Zea mays: one gene and its partners. The protein of the gene in region 3 interacts with the protein of the main gene of each other region in a pairwise test. Links are inferred from orthologs where the notes say so. Each region holds a gene or a part of one and is shown on either strand. Other genes may lie near its edges.

The links.
Region 1: the proteins of Probable protein phosphatase 2C 9 (region 3) and AT-rich element binding factor 3 interact in binary tests that used the Arabidopsis thaliana proteins (3 or more experiments, as listed by UniProt). The link is inferred for Zea mays from reciprocal best matches to the Arabidopsis thaliana genes HAI3 and PYL6.
Region 2: the proteins of Probable protein phosphatase 2C 9 (region 3) and uncharacterized LOC100272864 interact in binary tests that used the Arabidopsis thaliana proteins (3 or more experiments, as listed by UniProt). The link is inferred for Zea mays from reciprocal best matches to the Arabidopsis thaliana genes HAI3 and RCAR3.

Annotation. Positions count from the first base shown.
Region 1 is NC_050103.1:176,436,311-176,440,384, reverse strand, and holds the start of AT-rich element binding factor 3, read left to right. Parts: upstream 1-1,205; 5' UTR 1,206-1,289; coding exon 1,290-1,296; intron 1,297-4,074. UniProt on the Arabidopsis thaliana protein: Receptor for abscisic acid (ABA) required for ABA-mediated responses such as stomatal closure and germination inhibition.
Region 2 is NC_050099.1:232,111,118-232,115,326, forward strand, and holds the start of uncharacterized LOC100272864, read right to left. Parts: upstream 2,905-4,209; 5' UTR 2,787-2,904; coding exon 2,565-2,786; intron 1,138-2,564; coding exon 784-1,137; 3' UTR 369-783; coding exon of another isoform or gene 153-368; 3' UTR 1-152. UniProt on the Arabidopsis thaliana protein: Receptor for abscisic acid (ABA) required for ABA-mediated responses such as stomatal closure and germination inhibition.
Region 3 is NC_050103.1:174,999,931-175,003,927, forward strand, and holds Probable protein phosphatase 2C 9, read right to left. Parts: upstream 2,513-3,997; 5' UTR 2,251-2,512; coding exon 1,813-2,250; intron 1,716-1,812; coding exon 1,383-1,715; intron 1,267-1,382; coding exon 1,161-1,266; intron 1,084-1,160; coding exon 719-1,083; 3' UTR 583-718; downstream 1-582.

The DNA of each region.
Region 1 (4,074 bases), about 1.4 Mb from region 3:
GAGTTCGCCGTCTTCCGGGTCTTAGCCCGAGTCCGAGCCCTGGGGTCGGGCGGAGCGGAGTTCGCCGTCTTCCGGGTCTTAGCCCGAGTCCGAGCCCTGGGGTCGGGCGGAGCGGAGTTCGCCGTGGCGCCTTTGGCAAGGCCTGACTGCGTGTCAGACTCACTCTGTCGAGTGGCACTGCAGTCGGAGTGGCGCAGGCGGTGCTGTCCTTCTGTCAGACTGGCCAGTGGAGCAGTGGAGTGACGGCGGTCACTTCGGCTCTGCCGGGGGCGCGTGTCAGGATAGAGATGTCAGGCCGCCTTTGCGTTAAATGCCCCTGCAATTTGGTCAGTCGGTGCGGCGATTTAGTCGAGGTTGCTTCTGAGCGAAGCCAAGGCCTCGGGCAAGCCGGTGATGTGTCCGCCATAAAAAGGGGGCCTCGGGCGAGACAGAAGTCTCTCGAGGTCGGTTGCCTTTGGCCGAGGCTAGGCTCGGGTGAAGCGTGATCGAGTCACTCGTGTGGACTGATCCCTGACTTAATCGTACCCATCAGGCCTTTGCAGCTTTATGCTGATGGGGGTTACCAGCTGAGAATTAGGCGTCTTGAGGGTACCCCTAATTATGGTCCCCGACAAAACTAGGATAGTTATAAGTGACCCAATTATTCCTCTTCCCCTCTTCCTCCCTCCCTCTCTCTATCTCTCCCTCTCTTGGGTAACATGGATACCACATATTCCCTAAAATCATATTTAAGGTTTTAAACTTAAATGTGGTAATTGTTTCTACAAATGGTATTTAGTTTCATGTTTTGTTGTGTTTAGTAAATTGTAGAAGAACCAACATTAACTAGATTTTTTTCTACTATTGTGAAGGTCCCATAGAGTGGAATCAGTTTTTTAGAGAGACCATAGGCAGGGATAACTATCAAGCAACATGGAACAACTTGTTAATTTAAAGCCCAATAAAGCTTCATCCTTTGGTGGTCCCAATAAAAGGTGTGTGGTGGGTAGTGCCGCCCACGCGGATATGCTAATAACCCTCCTTGTACTCCAGAACCTGCCTTTCCACACATAATGAGCATACCTACAAGCCATATTCCCATCCACATTCATCCCCCAACACCCACTCGTCCACCCACCGTTTTCCTTGTCTTCACTTTCCTCACGCAATTCACCCACCCCCTCACCATTTCCCCCATCGACCATTGCTGCCACATACCAAACCCACTTCCTGTGGTCTTCGGTGTCTTCCCCGCCGCCGCCGCTGCCGTCGCCGTCGTGCATCACACTGTCCCTCTTGCTGTGATATCTATGAGAGGTATGGGACTATTGACACCCTTCAAATCGTATTGCTAGTAAATTCTTTGACAAGGATGTTGACTGCCAACTGTCACTTCTACCTCACCACCTATCTTGATGTTGCTATGATTGGGGACCATACCCCTAACCTCAATAGCCATCAGATCTATCTCCCCTATCCACCCAAAATCTAAAGCCACTACATCTAATCCCAAAACCTAACCACACTTGAGTGCTACATGTCAAGGATCACATTTTTTATAGAAAACAAGTGCCCTCTTATTTAACCTTTACCCCTATTTTTATGTACTGCATTTTGTTTTTTCTTATTTTTCTACAATTTTTATGGAATAGTGCTATGGTTGAAATTACAAATACTTGAATTAAGTACAATTTATATAGACATCTTATAATGGGACGTTGGACTACATTGTTACCACACACATCCATATGTTTCCAGTTTTTAGAATTTGAAGGGGCACCCCTGGTCCATTAAATTACTTATCATGACCAAGAAATGGTTCTAGTAAAGCATTATAGTTCAAACTTTCAAAAGAATCTCCCTCTAGTAGTATAGAATGATTACAAAGATATCAGATCATGACATTGTGCTAGAGGCCATAATTGCAGGTTAGCCAATCTTTCTTCTATTATGTATTGTGTTAGTGCTGACCAAGCTCCCAAACATGTCTTTGGTCATGGTCCATTCATTAGGAGTCATCCATGCCATCTTGCGAGTTCCTCTATTCTAGAGATGGCCTTGTATTGTTGCATGTGTCCCAAGGGGCACAATTGCTCCAACAGTTTGAATATAGATCACCATAGTTACTGCAAAGAGCTTAATTTCTTGCATAGAAAGAATTGAGTTATTTGAATTTCCACAAGCTTCATCTTATAAAAGAGCATAACATGTTCCTAACTGTGATTTTCTCTCTCTCATACATCCAGGTTCTTTCAATGGATACATACCCTTAAATAGAGCATATACTAGTTCATCTCTTCCTTATTAAAATAGATAATGGGATCAATTTGGATGACATCCTCCTAATTTATAACAAGATACTCTCTTGACATACCTTAAAAGTACATCTAAGTCTAGACCCATTCCACAACTCCACAATAGTAGCAATCTGCCCATGCATTAGTACAAAAGTAAGGGTCCCAAAAACTTATACCAAGGTTAGATGAGTCTAGCCAATAATTGTCTTCCCAAAATCTCATCCTTTTCCATTTCCAATCTTCTATTTGTACCCTATTTTAGCTACCTAGACATCCAAACAAAACCCTTCCAAAAGATGATAGTTGTTAGTATCTTTACATGTAAGGCATTAGGGATTGTAGTACTATATTTGAGGTCTATGATTTGTTTCCATAGTTGGTCATCTCCAAATCGTACCTTTTTACCCAAGAAGCTAATGGAATAATATTACGATGTCTCAAGTCAGGGACACCAAGCTGACCATACTCTTTTCTAAGATAAATAGTCATCCAGTTAACAAGATGGTAAACCCCATGACCTTCAAATTCAAACTACAACTAGTGATCCATGTAGGAATTGATAAGCTAAATTGTCCACTTGAGAAACTTGATGAAAGATCAAAGGTACATGGACCAGTATGCTAAGCATGTTTTCATCAAAATCAATCTCCTGCTATATGTGAGAGAAGTCACCTACCTCTCCACCTTGCAACCTTTTAATAATTTTGACATCAATTGGATGTATATATTCTCTCCGCCTCCATTTGCTTCTATTTTCACAGTCAATATTACTCATCAGATGGTGTAGTATGATATAAGCACCACAATCAAGACAATAGTATATATGGTGCTCTAAAGGCATTGTTTTTATCTTACTAGATGCATATGTAGTTATCAATCATTTATCTACCTAGCCATGTGATTAAATACCTCATGTATGCATAAAACATTATGCACTCATGAATATATTTTAAGCTCATATTTCATTAATATGTCACACATGGTAGTCATTGCTAGCTCCAAGTTGAAAACATTTCTCCTATTATTTTGATTAAATAGGAGGACATGGGCTACTAAAAATTATTTAAAAAACTAGAGCATAAAAGTGCATAGTTCAAGACACAAAAAAGTCAAAATGAAAACCTAAGGAATTACAAAAAGGCTTGTAGCCATAAATCGATACTTGGATTATAACGTGTTTTTGCTCTAAGAATAACTAGAGCAAACTCTTTCCTGAAAACTACCTTGCACTTTGGAATTGAAAGCACAATATTGTTGAAAATGTTGTCATTACGCATTATCCAAAATGGCCCAACACATCTCGATTAGAATCTCCATGAAGAAAGAAAGATGAAGTTGATCTCTAACACTTCCAAATAACCACTATTAGGGAGTATAAATAGATTCAGAGAAGACAAACAATCCAAAGCAAAAGGGTAGTCCAACATAAGGTGAAAAAGATCCACTTCAACATCTAGTGAGCAAATGATGCAATTGCAACAATCTAAATGCATGTTTTTATATTTAAGAAGCGCTATATTACTCAACTAATTTTTTAGAATAAGGCAAAAGAAGATTTTTTTTATTTTTTCAAGCAAACTTCCATGACCGCTTGAAGGCTTGATGAATGTGTTGATATCATATAAGCAATTTATAAACTGTTCTTGAGGAGAAAATTTGTGATCCCCAAATGTATCTCCAAATCATTGTCTATTTGTAGATGTACTATAAGGAGGGTAGTGGAGAAAACTTGAAATTATTTGTATACCTCAATAGATAGAGGTAAATAAGAGTGTAGTAAAGGAGTAGAAGTTGCCCC
Region 2 (4,209 bases), on a different chromosome or scaffold from region 3:
AGAACAGAAAAACACAATCGCAAGGAGGGGGAAAAAGAACTTGACTTTGAACGCGGCATAGCAGTTTTCCAAGAACCTAGGGGCTCCATGCATTGGAGAACAGGTCTACGCGTACACAGAATGCAATGCAATATAATGGTCCGACTCATTATTCACCGGTCAAGGGGCTCCGTCTGGTCCATGATGACCTGGCCCTCGGACACCTCCGCGAGTGACCGGAGGTTGCACTTGAGCAGCGCCTCCACGAAGTAGCAGGTCTCGTCCTTGGTGTTGCCGTCGGGGACGTCGACGACGAAGGACTCGATGACGAGCGTCCCTGGCCGGCCGTCGATGACCTCCGGGTGGACGGTGAGGATGGAGGAGTAGTTCTGCGGGCAAAGGAAAAGGAAGGTGAGATGCAGCAGATCGATGAATTAGACTAGTCGTCAGCTTTCACACACGCTGGCGTTCTTGCAACCAACCCAAGGGGGTCAGGGCCGGATAAACTTATATCCAGGTGGCGTCCATCGTCCATTATCCAGGTGCAACGCATGTGAGTTGTGACCATGGGCCACTTGTTGCTATCGCTGGCTGATGACGAGTGAGGGCAAACGGACGGAGCACGACAAGCGACAGCGAGTGACAGGTGCTCATGCGATGAACTTGGCATGTAAGGTCAAAGGATGGCAAGTCAGTGCCATGCTTGGAGTTGAGAGCATGCAAACATCACCCGGTACATAACAACAACAACAACCGCTGCTTGTTTTCTGGTTAGATAGACGACAAGAGTTTGTTGGGGGGCTATCACTCGAGGATGGCATCGTCGCAGGGCAGCACATCAAGATGCATCTGGCAGAGGAACTCCAGGACGCATTTGAGGTGGTGGGCAAAATATCTCGCATGGGCAGCACAGAATATAGATAGATGAAGAACAGAGCATACCTGCAGCCTGTGATCGCCTCCAACGAACCTGACGCTGAGAATGCGCTCGTCGTCGTCTAACAGCTCGAGCCTCTCCGTGCTTCTTGTGGCCGGCAGCCCGGACTTGACGTTGACCTCCCTGACGCTACCGATCTCGATGTTCCCCTTCATCTCACACCGGCTCACGAAGGGCTTGAAGAGCTGTGGCTGGTCGAACCGCCTCACCAGGGACCAGACCTGAGAGACAAGACAATTACTCGATCATCAGGCACTTCAATGTATGGTTAAGCTTTAAGCAGGTGACCAAGATTGATTAATCCACACTTTCAATGTAACAGACGAAGGAATAAACAGGTCCCCGGTTGCTTGCTATTCAAGTAGTATTAAGTGTTCTGCATAAACACCCTAACCGACCGGCTAACTGCACAGCTCGACCAGGCTCAGCTGAACCATCGCCAGGAATTGTAACAGGAAAAATGGCATGAACGGTGTACTGTCTACAAGTCAACTAAACACGCTTGAGGAATATGACATCTCTTCTAATCAGAGGCACAGTACACAGTTATAAAATGAGGCCTAGAGCCCTTGAGGTTGCTAAGCATATTCACAAGCATCCTTTTGGAATATGCTGAAAACTTGGGCTGGAAAGTCAGCCAGAAACGATGGTTCCCTCTGAAACAGTAATCAATTCAGTGCATCGCATCGCATAATTATGCAAAAGCTAATGTGTTTTTTTTGGGTAAGATTACTAGTTTTGCATCTGATCTTGTGCTGAAGCTGAACCACGTCCAAAAGGAGTGGAGTCCAAGTGAAGTGAAGCGTATCTCCCTCCCTCCCACCACCACCACCGCCGTCTGACCGTCTCGATTACTAGATTACTTGCAGAATAAAGCGGCAACACTTCAAAGCCTAATAACGCGGGGGATACAGGCCAGCAAAACAATGCATGAGCAGCTAGATAGAAATCTCAAAGTAATTAATCTGGCGGAAAGCAGATTCAGCGAGCGGGCATCTCGCGAGGTGCGGGTGGGGGGGAAGCATCTTCCCACCCACGGTGAGACGAGGTTACAGTACTACAGAACGGCGAATTAAAAATCGTCGAGGCTTTTCTGTGTGTATCATTTGCCTTTGCAACCAATCATGCATCTCTCATGTTCATCTCGCGAGAGCTCAGAAAAAAATTCACAGGCGGTTTCTTGGCAGGAAATGCAAATCTTAGATTTCGGCTAAAGCGACGTGGGTCCTCCCAGCAATGGATCCGCCCGACCAATCGCGTGAAAAGAGAGAAAGGATGACGACGGGAGAGACGAGCAAGCAGAAGCAGAGCAGGGCCGGTTCAAGTTCAAGACGGCATCCAAATCGGGCATCCTTGTTTCCTAATCAAGGAGCCGCGCATCGGCACTCCAAAACCGGGGGCGCCGGGCGGCGGGACCCGGCCAGACAAAAGGAGAAATCGAGAAACCGATCGAAACGATGTCTCGGCGGCGGATCGACTGCGCGAGCGCGACACAACACCCTACATACTCTCGCCATGGAAACGTGGAAACGGCACGGCGGCGCGGAGAAAAAGCATAGCAGAGCAGGCAGTAGGCGAGGGATTGATATATCTGATTCAGCGGCGTGGAATGGAAGGAAGAGATTGAGAGAGAGAGGCAGGCGCTCACAAGGTGGACAGGCGCCTTGATGTGCTTGGCGACGGCGGAGGAGCACTGGTGGTCGCGGGGCTCGTGCCGGTGGAACCGCCGCACGTAGTCCGTCTCCATGGCGCGCAGGTCGCACCGCTCGTCCGCCAAGCGCCACCGCCGCGGCGGCGGCGGCGCCGGCGTCTGCGCTCCTCCTCCTCCTGCTGCTGCTACTCCCACGCCTCCGTCCATCTCCACCACCATCACCGCCGCCGCCGCAAAGCCAGACACAGCCACCACGCTCGCAGCCTCGCACAGGCACAGCCCGGTAATGGAGGCGGCAGGGGCTTGTGTTCCGCACCGAGGAAAAGCAGACGACGAGGTGCGGAGCGAGGAGGTGGGGTTTTGCCTTTGCCTTTGCCTTGCTTTGCTTGTTTTGTTTATGCCGCGGCGAGACCGCGAGGGCGATGGCGATGGCGAGGGCGAGAGGGAGAGAGTGACGACGACGACCCCTGGATGGCACAAAGGCCGCAGCCTCAGGTGTGGTTGTTATGCTATTGGGTGCCGCTTACAAGCAAGGGCCTACTAGAATTAGGAATGCCAGATATGCCCTCCGAGTTCGCCACTTTTGCTTCGGTTTGCTCGTGAAAACATGGATGGCCGGATGGCCCCATGGCGGACGGCATTATCTCGTTGCCTTTTTTTTGGTTTGGAGATAGGTGTAGACATGTTTTTTTTCTAAAACAAGGCCCCATGCACGTCGCATAATGGTGTTGTTAAGCTATCGGAGAGCAATGTACGAGCAACTCCAATAATAATTATCTAAATTTTAGCTTTATAAATCACATATTTAAGAAGTTGTTAAATAACTTTGGGAGTTAAAAAGTGTAAGTTCACCAATAGTTTTATATTTATAGTTTTGTTTTGTATCTATCCATATAAAAATAAGTCACAAATATCATCAATTACATTCATTATCTATATAATGCAGTCAACATTTTTTTACGGAGTTGCTAAATAGTTGCCAAATGTAGAGAGAAAATGAGGCTAGATGAGAAGTTGCTAAATTAAGTAAGTTTATTTAAAGAAATGTTGGAGATGAGTTCTTATGTTGACTACCTAAATTATTGATTTAGTAAGTCTTTTAAAGAACAACGGGAGTTGCTCTTAGAAGGGATAATAGTTTAGCAAGTTGCTATGAAGGTTGGTTCTAACTGCGCGATTTTATCGATTGCTGGTGTTGGTTGGTTACGTCGATCGGTCAGTACCAACCTCGTTGTGCTAGCGCCGAGTACCGATTGGTCTCATGGATAGTCGATCGGTTGGAGATACGAGAGCGATTATGATTTGTTGGTTCGGTCAATACCAGCCGTCTTTAGCGATGTTGGACGTTTTGATTAGTCCACATGTGTTACATCAGCTAGTCTTTTTTAAAGAGTTTGAAATACAATTTTTTAAAAAAAAATATATGGAATGTGGTCTATAAATGAAGGGATGTTTGGTTCATTCACACTCCCCACTCTCTATTTCTCTTCTATCACTCTGTATATCAGTCCTCTCACTCTCCTTTCACTTGACCAAACCACCCTTGCCATGTCTTCCTCGGGCTCGATGTGGCTCGATGTTGAGATGACCGAAGATGAGGTACTCAATATGTCGCATCAAACTATGATGGATGTAGCGGTGA
Region 3 (3,997 bases):
CCCGCCGTAGCACTCCAGACTCCAGAGGAGTACCAAAAGGCGCGGCGCAGGCCTCGATAATGGCTTCAACAGCGCCTGACCCGACCGGTCGATCGCCCAACGGACAGTCGGACAAAGGCAAATGCTCTGTCGCCTCGCCGCCCACGCACGACGCCGCGGGCGAAAGGTAACCATTGATCGTGGGTCGTCGCATCATTCAGGCCCAGGCCGCCCCTGTGGAAAGATGCCCGTTTCTCATTTCCGTAAACGAGAACTTCGGAGCATTTCCCTTCACTCGATAGACGACGGGCCCACACCCCACAGATAGATCAGCATCTTGCCGTGCCTTTGTTAATCCGTCTCCGAATCCTACCGCCTGCCTGGGCCAACCAATCGCAATCTGCTCCCGCTAAACGTGGTCTTAGCGCCAATTTCTACACCAATCGCCCCGTTAATCTACTTCAGTCAAAGAATGGAATCAGCACTTTTTAGCGCGTTAATCGACGGCCAAAAAAAGCTATGATTAACGATTACCACTACCTTGTGCATCTGTGTGCAATTCGATGTTCTATTTCCTTGGTCCGACTGGCTTTTAATTCCTCGTTTGAGAGAAGAAAAGCGTCTGGTTGGTAACTACTACAGTATTAATACTAAACCAAAACAGAACCTAAAAGTATGGAAGAAAACGGGGGAGAAATTAGCTTGGATTCCAAGAGGGCTAAAAAGGAAGGAAGGCAAATCATATCCCCCGGCGGAGATCCACGACGACCACGCTAACATTATCGGCGCTCCGCCGGGCCAGCGCCAGCTTCGCCAGCAGCATGGCCGCGTCGGAGCACGCCTTGTCGGAATCCTCCACGCTCACGCCCTTGGCGGCCGCGGATCCGTTCTCGGCTGCCCGGAGGGCCGCGCCGTTCGCCCGAGCGGCCGGCGCCGGCGGACCGTTGCTGTGGAAGCACGCGCGGACGACCTCGCACGCCATCTCGTTGGTCACGACGTCCCACAGGCCGTCGCTGGCCAGGATCAGGCACTCGTCGTCGTCGGTGCGCTCCGTCACCGTTACCTCCGGCTCCGACGACACGAACGGCTTCAGGTATCCGTCGCCTGCACGCGCGCGCATAAACCCGTCAGTTCAAGTCCAACGAGTGGACCCAAAACGACCCCGAATGAGCCCAGCTCACCTATGGCTCGAGACATGGCGAGGACGCCGAGAACACGAGCACCGTCCCAGTAAATGACGCGGCCGCCCGCCGCCTTGATGCGCGCCAGCTCGTCAGGCCGGTCAGGCTGAACGAATCAGGAAGTTGAGCACGTCAGGCTCACGGACAGGCGACGAAGACGCGGGGAGGGGACAGGGGAGGAGGCGCAGCGCCCTCAGCCCCGTGATGCACGAGTATACAGACCTTGTGGTCGACGGACAGCGGAACGGGGACGCCGGCGCGGGATAGGACGGCGCGGGAGTCGCCGGCGTTGGCGACGACAACGTGGGTGGGGCTGACGACGGCGACCACGGCGGTGGACCCCACGTGATCGCAACGCAAGGGCTTCTGCTGCTCGCACCTGCAGGAGGGCTCGTCGCGGCTGCGGCTGGTCGCCCAGCTGGCGGCCTGCTCGTCCAGTCGCGCGAAGCTCCTCTCCATCACGGCCTTCCACGCCGTCTCTTCGCCAGAACAATCTGCCTTCCTGTGCTCGTCCGCGACCACCTCGTGCATCATGTTCTGGCACATGGTTGCTACCTACAGCAAAAGCGCGAAACTGCGATCAGCATACAGAACTCCGCAAAAGGGATTTAAACTCCTAGATGCGCGCGCGTCGTGTACGAGTATGGCGTACGTGGGAGCAGCCGTGGCCGTCGAAGACGCCGAAGAAGTGCTGTTTGCTGGTGCCGGGCACAAAGTCCGGCCTAACGGAGACCGTGTCCTCCATCTCGCGGCGTCGGCCGCAGACGGAGGTGACCCCGTACCTGGGCAACCGCTCCGGTAGGGCAGGCCTGTCGGAGTCCGAGCCCGAGCCTGAGCCCGCGTCGGGGCAGGTGCTGGACAGCGTGCGCGCCAGCCTCTGCCGCTTGGCGGCGCGGACGTCCTCCGCGACCGGCGCCTCGGGATCGCCCGCGACGCGGAACCTCCTCATCTCCAACCTGCGTCGCCTCCTCTCTAACGCCGAGGAGGCCACTGCCACGGCGGCGGCCGCAGCGGCCGTGGCGGAGACTGAAGCCGCAGCCACGGCGGTCGCCGGCGTGGACTTGGCTTCTTCGCAGCAGATCTCGGCCATTGGAGGCGAGAGCAAGCGGCTGCCTCCCAGAAAGGCGCGTACAGGCGCGTCTGGCAAAGCCAAAGGCCTCTCTAGATTAACCCTCGGATATTGGCGAGAGGCCTAAACGAAGCACGCTACGCTTCCCACGCGAAGCAACGCAGGCGACGCCCTCCTCCTCCACTCCGTCCCCCGGAAATGGATGCAATGGCAAAATAGCAGCAGCAGGACAGCAGCGCGGGCGCGAGGCGAAACGAGCACGAATGCTTCGTGGGGGCAGTACAAGAGAGGCGAGGCGAGGCGGGCAGGGGCAGCCGGGCAGGGGGGCCGTCGCCGTCACGGGCAGCGCCTCGACACGTACAGCTGTTGCGACGTGCTCCTGGTCCGGCGCACCGGGGCCGTCCGTCCCGGCAGGATCCGGACGCGTGCCGGTATCTTGCTCAGCGCGATCGACACGTGGTGTGCATCGGCCACCGAGGCGGGCGAGGTGCGGGCCCACGAGGAAGTTTGATGGTGTGTTTATCGCCTAATCCCTGTGCTGCACACACGTGGCGCTCCTGGGGTGGGTGGGGCAGTCCGCCTCGGCAGCTGATTTATTGATGCCTACTATTGCGGTCCCCACCACATGGGTTCTGTCTCTCGGGCTGCCCAGAAAAATATCCGGACTCCACAGTAGTACGTACTCTTCCCTACCGCTCTTTGTTCAGGATTCGATGACATGTGGGGACTGGCTGAAGCGTCGCCCACCTGCCAGCGAGAAAGAGAGTCTCAGGGCGGGAGCACGAGGGAACGGGTGTAGTGATGGAGAAGGGACACGTGGTTGGGGCGGTCGCAATCAGTGGGAAGGTGGTCGGTCGCGGTACCGGTGGACACGTGTACAGGGCTTGCGTGGGGGGAGGCGGGCCGGCGAGCGGTGGTTGGGCGCTGGCGTGGCCACGATGGGGGCGAGGGGAGGTGAACCTGGGAAAAAGCGAGGCGCACGCAGATAGGAGCCACGCCGTGCAGAGATGAGAGAACTGCCGCTGCAAGATGCAGGGGGCGCGGCCGGCCGCGGCTGACAGTCCGGTGTGCGGTGTGCCGCACGTTGCGGGCTTGCTGGTGCCTGCCAGTGCCGAGCGGCGGTGGCCCGGTGCACTGCATGCGGGCAGGCGCCGAATGGGGGGCAGCTGGTGCATGCTGAGTCACCGCTCGTCGGCTCGGTTCGGTATGGGGGAAACTCGGGCCGGCGCGCACTTCCACGGCGCCGCGAACACGCGTCATTTTGGTTGGTAACCGTACACAGTAGCTCGGCGCATGTACGTACTACCAGGTACGTACTGGTAATAGAGTGGTCGCTGCAGCAGGTAGTACCTGCGGTCTGTCAGTGAAGTGGTAAAGCAGCCTGTGTAAGGGCTGCAACCACAGTGATCGCCATTCTTTTCGTGCTCGCTTCGGATTTGCTATGATATGGCAAGCATGACAATGAAAGCGGGTGAAATCAGATCAGCCGGCTATGTTTGAAGAGTCTATTATTCACCACGATACATATGGTTTGAGATAGATTATATATAAATTAGTTTAATTTACGCCTCAATTGTCTTTAACTCATGTGTATTTGGATGAATAATAGAGTATCCAAATAAGCTCTCAATGCGCGTCGATAAAATTACTCTCATTTCATTATCGGGTGCGGGACTGTTGTGTAGATGCACCACGTATGCGAGTATATGTCGTAGCGCGTTACCTGTTTATGATGCCCGTTTGCAAGTCGTACAAGTCAATTTCTTGG